2 linked regions of the Diceros bicornis minor genome follow. The protein of the gene in region 1 purifies or fractionates together with the protein of each later gene. This does not show direct contact. Links are inferred from orthologs where the notes say so. Each region holds a gene or a part of one and is shown in the gene's direction. Other genes may lie near its edges.

Evidence for each region. Proteins that work in one complex are often made in the same cells at the same time.
Region 2: the proteins of COP1 (region 1) and TRIB3 purify together in Homo sapiens (affinity purification with mass spectrometry; 5 studies listed by BioGRID and IntAct, counting the BioPlex papers as one, with this or other methods). This does not show direct contact. The link is inferred for Diceros bicornis minor from reciprocal best matches to the Homo sapiens genes COP1 and TRIB3.

What each region holds. Positions count from the first base shown.
Region 1 is NC_080743.1:90,434,174-90,444,963, forward strand, and holds the start of COP1 (E3 ubiquitin-protein ligase COP1), read left to right. Parts: upstream 1-6,108; 5' UTR 6,109-6,332; coding exon 6,333-6,751; intron 6,752-10,790. UniProt on the Homo sapiens protein: E3 ubiquitin-protein ligase that mediates ubiquitination and subsequent proteasomal degradation of target proteins.
Region 2 is NC_080758.1:28,576,369-28,586,752, forward strand, and holds the start of TRIB3 (tribbles homolog 3), read left to right. Parts: upstream 1-5,472; 5' UTR 5,473-5,648; intron 5,649-9,082; coding exon 9,083-9,373; intron 9,374-10,384. UniProt on the Homo sapiens protein: Inactive protein kinase which acts as a regulator of the integrated stress response (ISR), a process for adaptation to various stress. Inhibits the transcriptional activity of DDIT3/CHOP and is involved in DDIT3/CHOP-dependent cell death during ER stress.

The sequences.
Region 1 (10,790 bases):
ATCTAAATATAATGATTATATCCAAATACTATTCATCTTTCATTCTAGGTGGTTTACTAAAGTTCACAATTTAGTGCTGCTTTAGCATTCCCAGTTTCTTATAGAATTCAGTGGGTGACACGAGTGGGTATTAGAGGAGATATCATAGTATGATTTGCCAGCAATTACATCTGAATACCCAGGGTACTAGGCAGAAAGGACTATCACTCACAACCTAAGAAGGAGTCTTGATGCAAATTACAGTGTACTGTGTTGGGGCCCACGACGGGCCGCCCCAAAATATCCCACAATGGCATGTTGATTATTTTGAATTAAAGTTGCTTCAGAAGCAAAAAGGGCATACTGAACCTCCTGTCTCTGTTCCCCCTGAAAGCAGGAAATACATCTCCCATGTGAAAGGTGCCCTCCCTGCATCCTTATCACCAGATTAAGGGAATTCAGGGCCAAGAAGCCTGCATAAACAAACCTTGCTAATTTACTACCTCAAGCCTAAACTCTGCTTAAATTCCTCACAAATTACGTACTCCAAACCTGTTTCTTTGTGCTGTCATTCCTCGTAAATTTGTTTTTTTGTGTAAAAGACATATATACACGCCTGCTTTGTTCACTCGCTGAGAATCATTTCCATAATTCTCCCACGCACATGTAACTAAATTGGGTTTTTCTCCTGTTAATCTGGTCTTGTGTCAATTTTATTTTTAATCTAGCCATAACACAAGAAGAGTATAAAGGGGATTTCCCCCTGTCTGACAACTGTTTTAAACATTTCTTGATTCTAGTTATAAACACTTTCCCAGATCACTTAATTATGCCACATTACATGTATGCGTGGTCAAATCCACGGAAAAAAGACTTGCAATATTATCTGCTTCAGTTTCCATGTGAGGTGTGTTTTTTTCTTCTTTTGCTCTTTAATATTACCTGGTCTCCACCTCATGATGACATCAATTGTTCTGTTTTTGCAGAATTCATTACACCTCATTTTGTTTTGGTTTATGATCTTCAACTGGATCTAAATCTATTCATATATTCATAAAATATGTACACATTCACCATATATAAAACAAGTAAATGTTGGTTTTTCCCAATCTTGGGCTTTTTTTTTCCTTTAAGCTGACTAACCCTATTCAGTAACTTGCATTCACATTCATATAGCTCCACCTATAATCTTTCATTGTTATAATACTTCTGATTGGCCTAGGCCATATTTTACAACTACCTAGACTAAAATTGCCAGCAGTAGCTTGCAAAAATGCTTTAATACAGGAAATTAACTTCTTTTATTTATTTTTATATGCATTTTTTTTTTTTGCTGAGGAAGATTCTCCCTGAGCTAACATCTGTTGCCAATCTTCCTCTTTTTCTACATGAGCCGCTGGCACAGCATGGCCACTGACAGACTAGTAGAATAGGTCTGTGCCCAGGAACCGAACCTGGGCTGCTGAAGCAGAGCATGCTGAACTTAACCACTAGGTCACTGGGGCCGGCCCTAACTTATTTTAATACGATGACTGACTTACCATGGTATTAGTGCTATTAGTTTACCTTCTCTAAAAAATGGTTGTAATTTCATACAGGAAGACTTGGAGTGGAATAAAAGCTAATGATGCAATTCTAGCAATGACAACAGTGTGACAGACCTTGGCCTTTTCAGAAAAGAGATTGTCCTCAAATGATAACTCTAAGAAAACGTAGTTCTCCATAGGTAACTGTCTGCCTCTGGTTTTAATGTATAACTTGGAGCTTTTCATTTTCCCGGTAGACTATGGATTATTTTCTGCTAGATGCATTATGATGCTACTGGGTTACAGAAACTTTTCTATTTCTTTTCTGTCCCTTCACATTGACAATTTTTTTTTACTTTTTTCTTCTCAATTTAGCTTGTTAATACCATGTTTATTTCACATCTCTTTTTTTTTTAACAGGGCAACCACATTAAATTCAAAGAAAATTGAACAGGAAGCTATTATTCACTCAGAGATTTGGTTAGACAGCAAACAGGGCTAACAGGTAGCAAACCTTTCAGGTGAGTCAGGCAGATAAAGCTTTTTTGGCAGGATCTTTTTGGGAGATGGGTTACCAAAGTGCAAGGCTAGTTGGAGATGAAAGCCAGCAGCCTTATTTCCCTAAAATATTATATTTGGACAAGGCAACTTAGAAATATGTCTGGGAAATCCAATCCTCTTGCTAATTCCATTCTATCTTAACTCCATTAGATTTTACTTCAGTAGCAGTGTTTTGTAGGACTTTGGATTTTTTCTTGTCATTTTTGTCATTCACAGGATTAATATATTTAACAACATGATGAATTCTTTTAATTATTAGGGCTTAGTTTTTATTTTACATTTACTTTCATTTTCATTAATGTTTTCTTCTCTTCTATTTGCTACTTCTCCTGAGTTGTCTGACTTCCTTTGTGCGTATTTTGCCATGCTTCCTCTTTTCTCTTCTGCTTTCCCAGAAAATCTTGCCAGTAGAAACTAATAAGTCTAGTTGTCATCTATCATCGTTCACAAGTGCCCCTTTACCCCTTTTGCCCCACCCCCACCACTCTGGTTACCACCAATCCCTTCTCTGTATCTATGTGTTTCTAAGCTCAGGGTTCCTCTCCTCTAGGGCAATCTATGCCTCTGGTCCACATGGCCCTGTGGGAATTGGGGCTCAGTGAACTGGCCCATGAAAATGCTGATACTCTACCCACTGCTATTGCTATGAATAATCAAGTCCTTTGTTTCTGGGGGAAAAAAAAAAAGAGATAAAAATTATGTACTTTCAGAGTAGTCTTTACACATTTATCTGGTATAAAAGGGAAATTCCATCATTATCACATACCCTTAGCTTCCTTTTGTGAGTTTAGATTTCACTGAAGACAGGTTCCAAAGAGGTAATACCAGGCACTGATTTTTGATTAGGAGACTTAGCTGGGGTCCTATCACTTTCTGTCTCCTGAATAAGCTACCTGGAAGGAAGAGACTATTTTACACATTTCTCTTACACGCCCTACAATATCAATCACAGGGTTTCTCAAGGGTTCGTCACCTGCATCAGATTTGCCTGGGTGCTGGTAAGAATGCATATTCATAGGCCCTACCCCAGGCCTATAGAGTCAGAATCTCTGAAGGAAGAGCTCAGGAGCCTGCAGTTTTATTTCTCTCATGTGTTGAACCTTCTCCTGTGCCATAGCCTGAATTTTCAATCACCGCCGGGATATACTTACTTGAATGTATTTTCACCCCACACTCGCTCGACACATCCAAAACTAAACATCTGCTGGCCATCTCCAATTCTGTCATCACGCTATTATTCCTGGAGGTATCTTTGCAGTCATTCTTCTTTGTGTTCATCATTTTTACTTAACTTATTAGCCTTTCTGCTAAGCATGTGGAAAGACAGTGATGAACAAGACAGATATGGGTCATGCCCTCAAGGATTGTAAAGATTCTTTTACCAAGAGTAGTTTAATCCTCCTATTTCAAATACCAGCACGGTCACCCATGGTGGACAGGTTTCAGTGGAGTTTCCAGACTAGACAGAATAGTAAGGAGGACGTGGCCATCCACTTCCGAAAAAATTGGCTATGAAAACTCTGTGAATAGCAGTGGAGCGTTGTCTGATATAGCACTGGAAAGTGAGAGGATGGCGCAAAAAGACCAGGCAGGGTTCTGCTCTGCTAGGCACAGGGTCACTAGGAGTTGGAATCCACTTGACAGTAACACCAACAAAACTTAATCCTATAGATTCTTTTGCATTTTTCTCAGAATACTCCCTTACTTTCCTTGTCAGCACCCTAATCTAGAATCTCATCACTTATGCTTGGACTGCTATAATTTTTTCCTAATTAGTCTCTTTGCTTCTAATCTCCCACCTCTTCTGAAAGATTAATCTGCTGAAAACTTAATCTTCAAAACAACACTTTGAATATATTTTACCTCCTTATAATGCCTTCATTGTTTCCAATTGCTTATAGGCTATTTTCTAAAGTGGATTCAAGGCGCTTTACAATCTGGCCCCCAAATGAGTTTTTACTGAATAAACTCTTTTACCTTATCAATTATAGAAATCTGAACCTCATGTAAGCATTTTTTCTTACTTATTTTCTGGGCTCATGACTTTAATTACACTTTCTGTTTGACCAAGCTATACTTTTCAGTTAAGGCCTTCCTTTTTCCCCCACCAACATGGCTGGCCCTTAGCACTTGTTCTTGCTTCAGTTCCTATGGTGAGTCTCTGCTCTCATTGAGCATTTAGCATGTGCTCTAACATTACTTATCTTTTTATGTACTTTTCTAATTCTTCAATTATTTCATAAGCTTCTTGAAGTAAGAGCAACGTTTTTTATACTTCTTCATCTCTTCCTTGCCTAGTCCAGGCCTACGTGTAGCAAATGTTCAATAAATATTCATTTATTTACGCATTTTTTCATCAAAAAATTATTGAATGCCCACTGAGAACTAATATTGTTCTTTCTTTCACGGAGCTTACAGTTTAGTTGGAAAGACAGACATTAAGCAAATAATTAAAATAAAAATGAGATCAACTGCTTTATTCAGTTATTAGTCAAGAAATATTCAATAAGGACCTATCATAGGTCAGGTATTGTGTTACATGCTGGGAATACAAAGCTGAAGCTGACAGGCTAGTGGAGGAGAATCATATATACATCACTAAAACACAATGTTTTAAGTGCAAACAAAATATCCTAGGAGCACAAATGAGAGTGCAACTATCTCTGCCAAGGACTCAGTAGGGCTTCACATTTCAGTATGGCCTTGAAAGTGAATTTAAACAAGGAGTTGGATAATGTAATATTTATACAAAGAGGGTGGTTCTTGGAAATCTGATAAGCCCATTTCTATATCATTATTTTGAGCAGAAACCTGAGCTGGAAATATGAGGGTGAGCAGTTACGGCAGAGTTGAGGATGATGGCAGCCATGACAGTTCACTGCTCAGGTGAATGGCTAGGTCTTGTTGCTGGGTCTTCATCTAGGTCCTTCCCCAGCCCTGGCCCCTCAGCATGGATGGACCTTCCTAGGGAAAGGCCCTAATTGCCCCTGTAGTCTTCAATACCCGGGACAGAATTAAATCTGGCATCTCTCCCTCTAAGAATCATGGAAATGATAGAGTTGGAAAGGATACTGAAAATCACCCAATTCAGTTGTTTCTAATTTACATCCCCCAGAATCTCAAAATGGTAAATGAAAATCTGTAATCAACTTTCAATATTCCGAAAAGCCTACCAGAAATTGCACATTTTCTGGTGGTATTTACTGCCAAGTTTCCTTGTTTTGTGGTAGTATTATATCAGATCCAAATTAAACCGAGGTTCTGACGGAGCTGTGTTCTGATTAAGCATAACTTGTTTTCCCATTATTGTTATACTTAATTTGGTACAATGTCTGCAATTAACAAAGAACAACACTGACTTCATCTTAATTTACTCCTCACAATAACATGGAATGTCTTAAAAACACCAGAGCCTGAGTCCTTGACTCTCAGCCCAGCGCTCTTTTCAACTTCTGGGAGTTCCTGGGTTCTTTCCGAGTGTCCCAGTTTACAGAGCCTTCAATTCCGGATTCGGAAGCACCTGTCCTGCCGTCTCCACTGGGACACGCTGCCCATCTGTGTCGACACCGACCGCTCCCTCCTCACGTTCCGGAATGCGGCTCGCCCTCACGCATGCGTAGTACGACGACTCCGCGCCGGCGCCGCTCCTCTCCGCCTGGAGGGGGACACTGGGTAACCCGCGAGGGTAGGCGCCCAGGGCGCGCGTGCGCAGTCGCTTTTTGAGCGCTCCCCGTCTCCGCTCCCTCCCCCAAACCACTCCGCCACCTCTGCCATTCATTCCATCCTCCGCAGCCCTTTCACCCATTACGACGGCCTGCCCTCCGGTACGTCACGAACGAAAACAGGTCTCGACGAGGGCGGCTGTCGTTGCCAGGCCGCCGCGGCCGCTGAGGGCGCGCCGTTCGCGTCCGAGCGCCGCCCGGGCCGCGTCTAAAGTTGTATCCCCCGCCGCTCCCGCCCCTTCCGCCGCTCGCGCGCGCGCGCGCGCGGCCGGCCCACGGCGCGCCCGGGTTGGCTGCGGCAGCGGCCGCGGGGCCTCGAGAGCGGTAGTGGTTTCTACTCCGCTTTATTAGTTTCCTCCGCCCCCTCCCGTCGGACGCTGTTGTGTGGTTGCCTTAAAAAAATCAACTTTATTGTTCCTCAGCCCCACCTCCCGGCGCGGCGCGCGTCCTCAGGATGCACTGAGGCTGTGGGAGGGGAGGCGGCGGCGGGTCGCGGTCGCGGTCCCTCTCCTCCGAGCGCCCGGCCGGAGGGGAGGGAGTCACGATGTCCGGGAGCCGCCAGGCCGGGTCGGGCTCCGCCGGGACCAGCCCTGGCTCTTCGGCGGCCTCCTCAGTGACTTCCGCCTCCTCGTCCTTATCCTCTTCGCCGTCGCCCCCGTCCGTGGCGGCTTCGGCGGCGGCGCTGGGGTCCGGCGGGGCTGCCCAGGCCGCGGGCTCCGGCGGCCTCGGGGGCCCGGCGCGGCCTGTGTTGGTGGCGGCCGCCGTGTCGGGCAGCGGCGGCGGGAGCGGCGGCGGGGCGGTGTCCGCCGGCCTGTCCCGGCTCAGCTGCGCGGCCAGGCCCAGCGCCGGAGTCGGAGGGAGCAGCTCCAGCCTGGGCAGCGGCAGCAGGAAGCGACCTCTGCTCGCCCCCCTCTGCAACGGGCTCATCAACTCCTACGAGGACAAAAGCAACGACTTCGTCTGGTGGGTTGGAGGCCCCGCCCTCTCTCTTGCTAAATTCTGAGTTTCTGCTGGTTGGGCTGGTGGGGTCCGGCGTGAGGGGGGTCTGTTGGGTGCCTTGGCGGCGTCTGCAGAGGGATTCGAGCGTTTGCAGAGACATTCAGACGGGTGGTTGGTGGAGTGGGATGGGGGCATGTTAGAGTCCCGAGGCAGGGTCGGAGTACCAAAGAGGTAAGTGCTAGTGAGGAGGGAGTGAAGGGACTTTAGGAAATAATAAATAAGGGAGGCGAGATGGAAGGTCAAATAAATGTGCGTACAAGAAGAAAGTTGGGCAAGGAGATTGGGCCTTGAATTTCCTGGCTGTCTGGAAATTAGGCACCTGTCAGTCCGGATTGTTGAAGTGAATTAAACTTGTAAAGGGAGAGGATTAAGCTTCCTGGGATGCTGAGGGATGGAGTTGTTGGTCAGAATTTGCTTATTTAACGTATGGTAGCTGGGGCTCTAAACGGGTATGAATGTTCTAAGGAGTAGTAGTATTTAATGTAAGTATCCATCGTGTTTGTATATAAATATCTCCTCCCACTTCAAAGGGTGGGCCACTTTTAAATCTGCTGTTGAGGCTACTGTAGTCAAGAAAATCTGTTCACAAAATTTCCACTTCTCAAGTGAATGTCTTGAAAGAGGGAACCACGTTTGTTAAATATCATCCATGTGTCAGATGTAACTACTACGTTTGTGTAACGCATTGGAGTATACTGGAACCTCTGATTTGAGAAAATAGGTGTTAGACATTTTGTCATCATAGTTGGCATCTTGGATGATGCACACTAGTATTCAGTTATGATGTTTGGCATAGAGGGGTTATCCATATTAAGTGAAAGATGCAGTTGATTGTCTTGCTGAGAGTGTTTTGGGATTTTCATTGTGTTTTGTATCCAAAATCCAATCCAAGTGGTAGGCTTATGAGAAATGAATTGCTTTTAGCTGAGTGAGAACTGGTAGGGTTTTGTGCTTTTCCTCTGGAGGAAATTGTTGATAGTCTTAGAATATTAGTGATGTAGGAAGTTGGCTTGCACTGTCATTATAGGGGAAGTTGATTCACTTCAGGGTTGAAGATGATCTGAGTTGGTGTCCTTAAATATGATAGGGCTGGAAGTTGGAGCTATAGGAAAGTTATTGATTAGACAAGAGTTTATAGTTCTTGCAGTAAAAATGTCTTTATTCATATTTTTGTTTTTGTCTTAAATTATTTTGGATTCAAAATTAATTCATTTTTTTACTGAAACTGGGTTGTAATTGTAATTAGATTGTTGTTTATAAATAATTTGAGCAGCTTATGGTTGGGTCTGAGAGGGTTTGTGCCCATATTCAGGAGAGAGTACCTTATGACAAAGTAGAAGCTAATGGAACAAAGTGAGGGTTTGCAGAATTTGTCTTTTTAGCCACCATTGCATTTCAATTTTCAGTAGGCTAAAAGAAAATAAACATGCTGATATCCATATATGTACACTAAAATAATGTAAAGGATGTGAGACATAAGGGAATCAGTCATTCATTCAACAGATATTTATTTGGTGCTCAGTTTGCCGGGCACCATATGAGTTTCATTGTGCTTACTATAGGCCATTTTATAGGGAATTGGAGAGGGATGTGGAAGTGTAAGCAGCTGGCACTGATTTTTTTTTTCCTTTGGGGATGAGATTATTAAAATTTTTATTAGTTTGTCACCTAATTTTTAAAAATTTCAATCTTGTTTATGAGTCCTAATCATGTTGTTTAGATTATTCTGTTTTCTTTTGTATTCTAATGTGGAAGTGTCCAGTGAGAGTCTTTTGTTAAAAATTCTGAATATTTCACTTTTCTAAGAATCTCCTTAGTCCATTGTTTCTTTCTCTGGCGAGGTTGAATATTCAGAAGAATTCATTAATAGAAATCAATTTTCCTGATTCTCAAGCTAGATTTGATTTGGCCAAGCTTTGGAGGTAGGAAGATATGGATTAGGCAAGGCCCAAGGAATCCTTTTCATTTCTAGTTGGCTCTAGGTTGTTGATCTGGTCTTGTATGCTTCAAGGTCAAAAGATGAACCCATCCAGATTACTCTGCTTTTACATGTAAATGAGGCTAAAGTTTGAATAATGCTGATAATGTCTTATTCATCACATTTTAAAGGTATGTTTATACTTCACATTTCATTTTATCCTTAGAGCAATTCTGTGAAGTATATAGAACTTCCAAATTTTTTGTGTGTGTGTGTGAGGATGATCAGCCCTGAGCTAACATCTGCCAATCCTCCTCTTTTTGCTGAGGAAGACTGGCCCTGAGCTAACATCCACGCCCATCTTCCTTCACTTTATATGGGACACTGCCACAGCATGGCCTGACAAGGGGAGCACTGGTGCATGCCCGGGACCCGAACCCAGGCCACCAGCTGCGGAGCGCGCGCACTTAACTGCTACACCATGGGGCCGGCCCCAGAACTTCCAATTTTAATATAATAATAATATAATTGTATTTCCATTGAGGTACAAAGAAGTTAAGTAATTTTCAGATTGGATGGCTAAGGGGCAAAGTGAGCACTCAGATCTCCAATTCTCAACTTCGTGCTTTCTTTGTATGTAATTAGGAAATTTCAGATCTGTAAGTTTGAGTACATATATTTAGCCTAGTGGTTCTTAAATGTGGTAGATTTGAGGGGAACAGCTGTTTCTAAATTATATGAGATATGTTTTTATTCCTAACCGCTCCCTCCTCCTGCCTGCCTGCCCGCCCGCCCGTATTCCCAAGAGGACATATCCGAATTGGAGACTGGAATGGGCAGTGTAGTTTGGCAGAGCTCTCCTGGTAATAATGACATGTCCTCTTCCCCTCTTTGAGAACAGTTGATTTCAAGTCACATGCCTAATTTTCAGTAACACACTTTAGCCTCTCTTGACTTATATCATATTTGAAAGTAAGTTTATATTTAATTGCAGAATTAACATTTTAGGGATTTGTAGTTTTCACTTTAATATTTCTTTCATACAAAGGGTTGAAAGTATTATCAAGTTGCAGATAATGCTAATGGTTTTATAGATGGAGAGTCTGTAGATCAGGAGAGAGTAGTATTTAGCTTAAAGTTGGATAAATCTTTGACATTCAAAGGATGTCTTTGTTACTTTGATTTTTCAGATTTTTCTGACATGATCCATTTAACTAAACTATGAATCTGGCCTGTATTTGGAAGATGACTTCTTTCTTTTATTCTACCACGTTACTGCTGCCTCTGCATTAACTTTTCCAAGTGCCTGAAATGACCTTTTCTACCTCTGCAAGTCCCAGTTATCCTCCAAGTTGCAGCAGAAATAAGTATTTTCAAGTAGATGGTAAATCCCGTGTGGGAAGGTTAACTCTAATCATCTGCCTGATAAAAAGTAGGTAGGATCTACATTACACAGATCTACCATTTAATAAATATGTGACTGCCTCTCTTGTGTCTAACTATTAATAATAGATTCTCTATCCTGAAAGAGTTCATGATTTAATGTGAAGAAGAACTTTTAATCACATAATTGTAGTATCATATCCCAGCATCATTGCTTCTCTTAGTACCGTGGCAGATGTTAAATACTCTTCTGAATTCAGATGTTGTCTCCCAGTCCTCAGCATAGCACTCTAGGCAGCCATTACCTGTTAATCACATTTAGCACTAAAGATGAAACCTGTTGACCATTCTTGCTACTATAACTGTTTTTCAAACTATTAAAAAGTGAAATAAAATAGGAGATATCATAGAACCTGTCGTGATAAAGATAAGTTTGTTTGATGAAACTTTTGGTTACATTTTTATGTACAATGTATGTGCAATGTGTGTCTTACTAGGTCTCAGGGTGAAAAATTTTTGAAAGTCACTGAATTATGGGATGTATTTTCTCCTGTGATAGGAAAGTAAGTGGAAAATTTGTGGCCTTTTTATTTACACCATTTTGAGCTTGTAAATAGGACTAAATGTAATTTAAAGAGCTGTTACAACATATTCAGCTACTGAAATAAACTTTAGAGTTCGTTAACATTATTATTATTATAG
Region 2 (10,384 bases), on another chromosome or scaffold:
TTCAGAGAGCCCCATCCTTACACACATGAAGCAGTAATTTTGTGGCTGAGCCGGGAGAGGGACTGGGGCTGCCCAAGGTCAAAGGCAAGGTCAGAACCAGAAACCTGCCTTCCTCCTGCGGTATCCAGCTCCTCCCACCGCAGGTTGGGGAGAGGACCCCTCACCCTTGAGGGGGGCACAGGACTTCCCCAGAGCTTTCAGCCAATCTCCTTGAGGCTCCTGAAATAGCGGAAGGACACGGGCTTTGGAACTACACAGACCTGGGTTCAAACCCCTGGACTTGCTGTGTGATCCTGGGCAGGTTACTTCTCCTCTCTGACACCTGGTTTTCTCACTTGTAGAAAGGGCATAAGTTCATCCTTAGCTCACAGGGCTGTGGTCAGGATTACAGGAGAAAGCAGACGGAGGACACAGCCCAGGCCTGCCACACGGGGGATGCTCAGGAGGTGTGTCCCCACCTCTCCCTCCACCCTCAGCTCTCAAGTGGTGTGTGTTGGGGTGCAGGGGAGGCAGCAGCCTGGGCTCCGTAGACATAATATTGCCGCTTATCATCAAGTGCTTACTGTGTGCCACGAACTCTTCTAAGCACCTTACCTGTATTAACTCATTTAACCCTCCATTTAATCCAATAACAGTTCCCGGTAACAAGAAGCAGTTCAATAACCCTATCAGGAGGATGCTACTATCAATTCCATTTCATAGATGAGGCTCTGGGTCTCAGAGCAGCTAAGTGACTTGCCCAGTGTCATATAACTAGTACTGGCCAAAGAGGTTATGTAAGGCTGTGGACAAAGACCACCTGGGCTTTAAGCCAGATAGACAGGCTCCTAATCACACTACCCTCCTCATCCTTAGGCCAGTGATGTCACCTCTCTGAGCCCAGTTTCCTCATCTGTCTCCAGGGATGAAAACAGCAACTCCCTGGGAGGTTTGAGGATGCAGTGAGGTGATGTAAGGAAGCACCCACACAGGGCCATGCTCCATCCTCAAGCACAGGAATCACATTCTTCCTAAAGAAAACCCAGGCCCACAGGGCAGACCTGGGTCACCTGGCAGGGCCGTGGCTGCCACTGGGCCACCTCTGGGAAGATGCTGTGCCCACGCACAGGGCTTCCTGCCTTTCCTGAGGCCCAGCCTCAGCCACATTCGGATGATGAGGGATTTCTGCAAAGCCCCTGGGAAACCCCAGAGAAGGGGGGGTGTCTGGTCTCCTAATGAGGGCTCCCCAAGAGGAGCACAGGCCTAGAGCTGCAACTCTTGAATCACTCACTGCTTTTCCCAAATTGATTGGCTCAAATCCATTTACGCATCTGTATTATTAGTTTCCTGATGTTTTTCTTTCAATCAGCTTATTTTTTAAAACTTAGGTAAATTCATTTAAAAGGGAACATTTAAGTCACTGACCTCAAATGGAAAGCCACTATCATTTCCGGTAAGGAGAAAGTCACCATCAAATTAAATACAAGGAAAGCAAAATAAGATTCTTCAAGCCTAGCAAAATCCTGTTTCTTGCTGAAGGCTCTGGACTGAGCCCTGCTCTCTCTTCCTTACCAAGCGAGTTGTTAAAGACAGAGAGGCTGTAAAATGAGACTTTTCCCCCCAGTAACTGGAGGAACAGGAAGAAAATCAAAAGGAAATGCATGTACCACCAAATGATTCAATGATTCAGAGTCTTGAGACCCCACCATTGCTATACATGTCATATTTTAGAAAACACCGACCTAATCCAACTCTTTCTTCCTATTTTACAGACAAGAAACTAAGGCCCCAAGAGGGAAGATGACTTGCCCACCATCTCACGGGGTCAATGGCTTCAGCCAGACCTGAATCCAACCAAAATTCTTTCCAAAGCATCTTTTCGCTTTCGTGGGCACAACTTACCAAGCGGAAGGTTTTGGGGCCGGCCTGGTGGCACAGCTGTGAGGTGCGCACGCGGGGCTGTGACCGCCCAGGGTACGCCAGTCCGCATCCCCCGTGCGCAGGGATGCCCTGCTTGTCAAGCCATGTTGTGGGGGAGTCCCATATAAAGTAGAGGAAATTGGGCACGGATGTTAGCCCAGGGCCAATCTTCCTCAACAAAAGGAGGAGGACTGGCGACAGACATAGAAAAAAAAAGCTGAAACGTTTTAAGAACACCAGCGGTGGCATTTCAGGCTTGAGGCAGGCACCAGCGACGGGGTGTGGAGGAGGGAGGCGGGCGCGGCTCCTATCATCGCGGTCCACGGACTCCCACCCCCACCTTGGAGCGCAGCCTCCCCGCCCCGCGCCGAGTTCCTCCTCCCAGCGCTGGGGGTCAGCGGAACTACAGCGAATAGAAATGCAGCCCGCGTGGCTCAGGCATCTGGGTGGAGGGACGTTCTGAGCCCGCAGAGAAGGGAATTGACGAAAGCCCAACTCTCCATCCAGGAAAGTGCACATTTTTGCATTTAATTTTGGGGCGTTGATCACCATTTATTTTCTCTTCTTTTAACAAATGCTTATATAGCATTTATATGCCAGGCACTTCACAGATATTAAGTCATTTAATCCTCATAACAAACCGATGAAGTAGGCACTATTATTTTCCCCGTTTCACAGATGAGAAAACTGCCTCAGTGCATTTAATCCTTAGGACTACAATGCAAAGAAGGTATAATCAATCCATTTCATAGATGCAGAAACTGAGGCTCCAGGCTCTGTGGCATCTATACTGCAGACCCCACGCTCTTCACTTCTTTGCTATACTCCCTGGAATTCTTGGTCTAGGGGTGTGCTACTCAATACCATAGCCATTTGCTACACGTGGCTCCTGAGCGTTTAAAATGTGGCTGGTGTGACTGAGGAACCAAATTTTTCATCTTACTGAATTTTAATTTTAAAACAGGTAGCATATTTTTTCCTTTAAACCCAATTTAATTGTTTTGGGAGGACAACATTTCACTTTCACCACTGACAATTTAGCTTCCATGCTGATTTGTGTCCAAACCAAGTATGAAATACACACCAGATTTTGAAGACATTGGTATGAAAAAAATTTTAGATTATCTCATTAATAATTTTTATTATCTTATCTGTTGAAATGATAATATGCTATGTTATTGGATTAAATAGAATATTTAATATTTATTAATATTAATTCCACCTGCTTCTTTTTATTCTCCTGCAATACCTGACTAGAAAAATGAAAACATACTTGGCTCATGTTATGTTCTATTGGAAAGTGCTGGTCTAGAGAATTGGGATTTGACACCCCCAACTGTGACAAGGCCCTCAAACCTGGAGTCCAGGCCCAGGGTGCGGTTCCAGTGACCATCCACAAGTCCGGGTGGAGGCTGCCTTCGGGTTGCAAAGATTGTGATCTGTCCCTGGACAGTGTGGGCACTGGAGTTAGCTGCCCCAGGTTCAAATCTCAAATCTGCTTCATACAACGAGCTCGGTGGTCTTGGTAAGTCCCTCACCTGGACTCATCTATAGAACGGAGGTGACAGTGCCCATCTCACAGTTCCTTAAGTACCTCAGGGCCTTTGCACTTACTTTTTCTCTGTCTCCCCTCACATCTTTGCACTCCTCACCCCTTCGCTTCCTTAAGATCTTAGTTTAAACATCACCTTCCTGATGACTCCTACTGAAAATAGCCACCGCTCAGTCATATCTGATGGAGAACAAATCTATCCTGTTCATTCAAGAAAATACATAACATTTATAACCTATTTTAAATGATCTCGGCTATTAATTTTATTTTCTTGATAATGGTCTGTCTCCCCACTGATTTATAAGATCCCTGAGGGCAGGAATAGGTCAGACTTGTCACGGCTGAGTCCCCAGCATTTAGAACAGGGTCTGACACAGCATGAAACAAAGTTAGGAATGTGGGAGCAAACCCAGACAGTGCTGGCTCCATCGAGGTGCTCAGAAGATAAGAATGCCTGCCTTCTTTTGCCCCGGACGGCTGCGGGACCTCCTGGTGTAGAAAATGAGTCCACCCATCCCTCCCGGCAGGGGAGTCTCCAGGGTTAAGTGAGGTGCCACAACCCCCTGCTGTGCTCGGAGGGTTCTGAGACACAGGGGAGCTGGTCCCTGGAGTGCTGGAATCAGGGAAACAGAACTCCACCCACCTCCCATCCAACTTCTGCCCCAAGGAGTTATTTTTTGACACTGGTGAATTCAGATATCAAGACCTAAAAGGGATTTCCAAGAAAGGTGCTGGCCCCTTGGGGCTGCACAGGGATGTTCCATCAAACAGCAAGGGCCACCAAGGCCTCCCAGGTCTGGAGTGTGAGCCCTGTAACGGGCACCTTCCCCTCTCTGAGCCCCCGTTGTCCCCACTCTATTTATTGAGCACCTACAACATGCCACACATTCTAAGTATTTTACACGTATTAATTTATTTAATCCAAGCAACAACCCCGTGAAGTGAGTACTATTATAAGCCCGTTTTACGGAGGAGGAAACTGAAGCAGGGTTTTCAGTATCTTTCCTGAGGTAGCACAGTGGGTCTGGGCAGTGGTGGGGTGCACTCTTAGGCAAGCTGGATCTAGGGTGTTTGCTCTTAACCACTAGGCTGCACTGCCTCTGTCAAATGAATGCTGTGAAGCCCACCCAACCTCAGGCCTCTCCAGGGCACCCCACTGGTTCTTTTGAGCCTGGAGGCGGCTCCTAAATCTGTGGTCTTTGCAAAACTCCAGGGCTGCTTTCCCAGAGCGGAGCTTCACGCTCCCCCTGAGTAGAATAGGGAGATGGAGCTTCCTGCCCCCCTGGGGTTCTCCTAAAGGTTTAATAAAGCAATGGTGGCAAAGTGCTTTATATATATATATATTTGTGTGTGTGTGTCTGTGTGTGAGGAAGATCAGCCCTGAGCTAACATCCAATGCCAATCCTCCTGTTTTTTGTTGAGGAAGACTGGCTCTGAGCTAACATCTGTGCCCATCTTTCTCTACTTTATGTGAGACACTGTCCCAGCATGGCTTGACAAGCAGTGCGCCTGTGCACGCCCGGTTCCGAACCTGAGAAGCCAGTGCCGCTGAATCGGAGCGCGTGCACTTACCCGCTGTGCCACCGGGCAGGACCCCAAAGCGCTTTATAAACGGGGAAGCACCCAGGAAACTGTCACGGTTTGCTCTTTCTCCTTGGAACCATCCTGAGAGGGAAGGATGTTCTTGCTTGCCATTTCACAGATGGGGAAACTGAGGCTCAGAAAAGCAAAATGCTTTTCCCAAGGTGATAGGGAGAGTCGGAGGCAGGTGTCCTCGCTCAAACTTCGGGCACGGGGCAGGAGGGGAGGGAGTGGAGACCAGACACCCCTAGAGGGCGGGAGAGGCGAGGGGTGCCGGGGCGGAGCGAAAGGGAGGGGCCGGGGCGGGGCGCGCTCGGCGGTGACCCCGAGGGGCGGGGCGCGGCGGATGGTGCAATCCCCGGCCTGAGGGCATCCGGAGGCGGCTGATTAGCTCAGGTTTACATCACCCGGGCCGGAGCAGGAGCCCGGCGCCTGGCGTCCCCGAGACACTCGCAGCGGAAGCGCCGGCGGCGCCGCACGCGTCCGGCTGCTGGGGCCGGGACAGCGCTCCGTCGGGATCCCGAGCTCGGCACACCGGACCGACCCCGGGCCACCCGGGGGCCCCGGCGACTCTGAGCTTGAGCGGCGGCAGGACCCCCGCGCACGCGGGAGCAAGGTACCCGGTGGGGACAGGAGAGAGGACGGAGATGGGCGGAGGGGGACCGGGAGCCTCTGGGCGGCTGCGGGTTGCTGCGTGTTACACACACGCGCGTGCACACACAACTTTTAACAAACCCCGCAGTCCAGGGCGCGACCTGGGCTGAGTGTTGCCGTCGCGTCTCAGGTGACACGGCCCGGCAGGGCGTGGGGTCGCCCGAGTGTGGCCGACTCGGGCTGGGCCGAGGGTGCGCTCCCGTGGGGAGTGGCAGCTGTGTCCCGGGGGCAGAGGGGGCCGGGGACTGAGGTGTCCGGGTGTCGCCCCGAGAGGGGTGTGCGGTTGTCTGTGTTTTGTGTGAGTGTGAGGCGGGGGAGTTGTGTCGTTTGGTGCGGGAGGTCTGGGGGCGCCTGTGTGGGGCATTGGGGGACTGCGTGTAGGGTCTGTGTCACTGTGGGGGCGTGCCTGTGGGGATCTGCGGGTGTCCACGTGACCCTGTGGGGTCTGGGCGGGGATGGTCTCGGGGGTCTGTGTCCTCGTGGACTGTGCGAGCTGTGGGGAGGGTTGGGCACCTGGTGGCAGGTGTTGGCTGTGCGGGGACACCGCCGGGAAGAGCTGGGGTGCCGGAGGGGGCGGGGCGGGGAGGGAGGTGGGGGGGTGCACGGCGAGTGGGAGCGAGGATGCAGCGCGGGATGCGGGGCCCGAGGGCGGTGCGGCTTCGGGTTTGCACGTTGTATTGTGCGCGCGTGTATTTGTTCCTGCCAATGGTGTGCATTGTACCTGCAGACTCGGGCGTGTGGGGGCGAGGGCCCAGGTCCGCCCCTTCTCCCAGCCTGGGGCCCAGCCTCCTTCCCTTTGCCTCACTGCCCCCACCCCTCTCGGTTTCCGCCGAACCTTCTGCCCGGGACACCCGCGGCCGCCGCTTCAGCTCCCACCGGAGGGGCCTGGCTGCGGAAGGCGCCGGGAGGGTGCTAACTGCCTTCCGCGGGGTTGGGGGGGCGTGTCAGACTGTGCGTATGGCCTCGTTGGTATCAATCCTGCAGTCCTGAGTGTGATAGTGGGGAGAGCTGTGTGTGTGTGCCTGTGCACTTGCCCTGGAGGGCGAGGTGTGTGTCACGTAATGATATGTCCCTCTCTGCCCTGGATGTGCGGCGCGGGCTGGCTGGCTTGGACAAAGTGTCTTTTTGAGGGGCGTGAGTACACCTGTCTGCCCTGGGTTGTGTGTGTGTTTGGTATGGCTCACTCTCATTCCCCGGAGGTGTCAGGGAACAGCAAGAGGTAGATATTGGGGGCTGCCTCCATCCTACAGCAGAGATTCTAGTCCTGCAGTGTGGCCTTGCTCATCTACAGCCTCAGTTACCTCACCTGTCCAGTGAGCTTATCTCAGACCCAGCAGCCTCTGGGCATGGATGGGACCAAGCAGCCTGAGTGCTGGTGTGGCCCCCAGAGGGCCCCTCCAGGGAGTCTCGTGCTGCCAGGGCACAAAGCATCCACACAGCCAGGTGTCATCCTGTGTGACTCTCAGAACAGCCCTGGAGGTAAAGAGTGTCATCCTAGCCTCACCCCAGGGAGATTCCTGAGCCTTTCAGGGGTAGCACTTTAGCATCTTCAGCTACGAATAATAATAATAATAGTAACGGACCAACAGTAGTGACCATTTTCTGACACCTACCCTACAAAAGGCCACTCTAGTTTATTTGTGTTTTCATTTCATCATCAGAAAAATCCTATGGGCTTTGCATCCTGTTCCCACTTTACAGATGAGGGAACTGAGGCTCAGGGAGGTTGAAGAGCTTGCCCAGGACTACCCAGCCAGGAAGGATCTGAGCCAGGATTAGAACCCAGGAATATCTGACTGCAGCCACCCCTGATTGCATTCTTACCAAGATGGGATTATGGCCTTTCACTCGGGGTGGGGGTGGGGGTGGGGGTGGGGATTCCCTCCCTTCCTCCCAGGCCAGCCCAGACATTTGGGAGCAGCGTGATTGGAGAGGTGGGCCTCAGTGTGAGAACTGACTGAGTCATGTTTCCCTGTTAATCCTGCCTGGGACTGTTGGGAAGGTCTCACCTGGGCTGAAGTCCATCTCCCTCTGACTCCTCTTCCCTGGGCTCCGTGTCCCTCATTTGGAGCCTGAATGGGTGGGCAGATGGGTCCTGGAGAGAACTTTTCCGCCCAGACATGCCATTGCCCTCTCCTCCACCCACCACACACGGTGACACAGCTGCACGGGGGGTGGCTTCCCCCACAGCTGAATGAATGAATTTGGGGGCCTTTGACAGACCCTCCCCTCCCCGCCTCACCTCTCACATGAGGGGGAAGCTGAGCTGGCTGGGGGACTGACTTCGCCTGTGGTCCCTGTGATTCCGGGAGCTCTTGAGCCGTCAGGCAATAGTAGATAAAATTCACATTTGAAAAAAAAGAAATACACTCTGATCTGAAATACTCAAGCAGTAAGTGAACGCAGGATCTTTACCTTACAATACTGAAATTGAAAATTCCCTTGCCCCCCTACCAAATCCCTTCCTCCCCTGGGGGCCTCCAGTTTAGTCTGGGTCCTTCCAGACCTTTCCCTGTGCATTCACACACCGACATACACGCAAACATGGAGCTACATCATTTTATATGCTGGGGGGTCTTTGCATAAATGAGGTCACCTTGGGTGTGCTGTTCAGCAGCCTGCTTTCCCCTGGACAGTATGTCCGTTCCAGAGCGCACATGCACATGCGCATTCAGGCCCACCGCATTCATGCAGCACCCTCATCATCTTACTCCCTCCTTCCCTCCCTCCCCGTCACGGCTCATAGCCTCCTGCGCTATGACACTCAACAGATACAATGCAAAGTCTTTCTTCCTCCCTGTCACAACCACTAAGTCTCTCTCTCCGCTTTACCTTTTTTTCTGTTTTCACTTAACAGTTCACTTTGGAGATCTTTCCAATCAGCACATAAAGAGTTTCCTCAATCTTTTGAATGGCTACAATTGTTCCCTGTATGGATGAAATACAATTTATTTAACCAGCCCCCTAAGGATGGACGTTAAATTGTTTCTATCACATGGGCTGCAGGAATAACCTTGTACTTGCATCGTTACATCAGTGTATAGAGAGCTTCCCAGTCCTTTTTCAGAGCTGTATAGTATTCCACGGTATGGCTGTACCATGGTATTTAACCAGCCTCCCACTGCTGGACACTTGGGAGTGTTTCCTGCCTTTTGCTATTAGACACAAGGCTCTGATGAGCAGCCTTTCACATATTTAATTTTTTGGTGAGCATTTTAGTTGGAAGATAAATTCCCAGAAGTGGGACACCCAATTAGGGCTATGTGCACTTGTCAGTCTAATACACACTACAAATCATCCTCTGTAATTGGCTGGGCCAATGTACCCTCCCACCAGCAGGGGAAGAGAGGGCCGCCAAACAGCCTCACTTGAGTGCCTTCCTCTCCTTCTTTCTAGATGCGAGCCACCCCTCTGGCTGCTCCTGCAGCTGCCCCCTCCAGGAAGAAGCGGTTGGAGTTGGACGACAACCTAGACACTGAGGCTCCCACCCGGAAACAAGCTCGAAGTGGGCCCCCGCCCAGGCTGCCCCCCTGCCCACTGCCCCTGAGCCCACCCCCTGCTCCACTCCGTGCCCCTGCTGTGACCACCGCCTCCCGGCTTGGGCCCTATGTCCTCCTGGAGCCTGAGGAGGGCGGCCAGGCCTACCGGGCCCTGCACCGCCCCACAGGAGCCGAGTACACCTGCAAGGTACCTGCCCTGGGGGCCACTCTCCACCAGCGTCACAGGGGGCCTGAGAAGGGTCTTGGTTGCAGAGGATTGCCAGGGACTGGGGGGTCTTTATATTAATTTATTCCTGTGTTTACTGGGGAAGCAGCCCGTGAGCCCCCAGCTCTCTGTCAAGCTCCAGGCTGGGGCTGGGCTGAGACAGGGGTAAACCAGACAGTCCCAGCCCTGGGGGAATTCACAGTGTAGGCCCCATAGTGTGATAAACGGGGTGGTGCTGAGGGGCCCTGAGAGCACAGGGGAGAAGCCTCTACTGTAGTTCAGGGGGGAGCCAGAAAAGGCTGAGCAGGAGTTAGCCAGGGAGAAGTGGGAGAAGGCAGGTCCAGGCCGGGGAAACAGCTATGCAGAGGCCCAGCGGAGTGACAGCTGGGTCCCCTTGGGAGTGCACAGAGAGGCAGAAGGACTTAAGCCTCCACCTGGGAGCAGCAGCAGCTGTCTCCAGCTCCTGCTGGGTGGGGGTGGGGAGGCAGAGGGACAGATCTGGGCACATCGTCCAGCCACCAGCTTCACCTGGGCTCCCTGCGTGCTTGACCCCAGGTGCTCTAAGGGACCTCTGAACTCTGGGTCCCCTTCCTGCAGCATCGCAGATTCTTTTCTGTTCCCACTGGGGAGGGAGGTCCACGCTGAGAGGAATGACCCAAGCCAGCTCGGACAAGAAGCGTCACGCTTTCACATGGCCCCCATTATTCAGCAACATTTAGGGGAGTCTGCTGGGGTGCGCTGGTCCCCACACCAGCGTGAACCGCAGGGGCTGACCCGCCATCTCCACATCGCCTAGGGTTTTCTGGTCAGAGCGTAGAAGGAGCAACATCGTGTCTTTGTAGATTATCGCCTTATTCATTAATTCCACACACCTTCAGTGAGCACCTGTATGCGCCATGCAGCACGCTGTCGTTCAAAAACAGACAAAATTCTGCTCTCATCAAGCTGACATTCTAGCGGGGGACACGGACAATAAACAAGTGAATAAGTAAA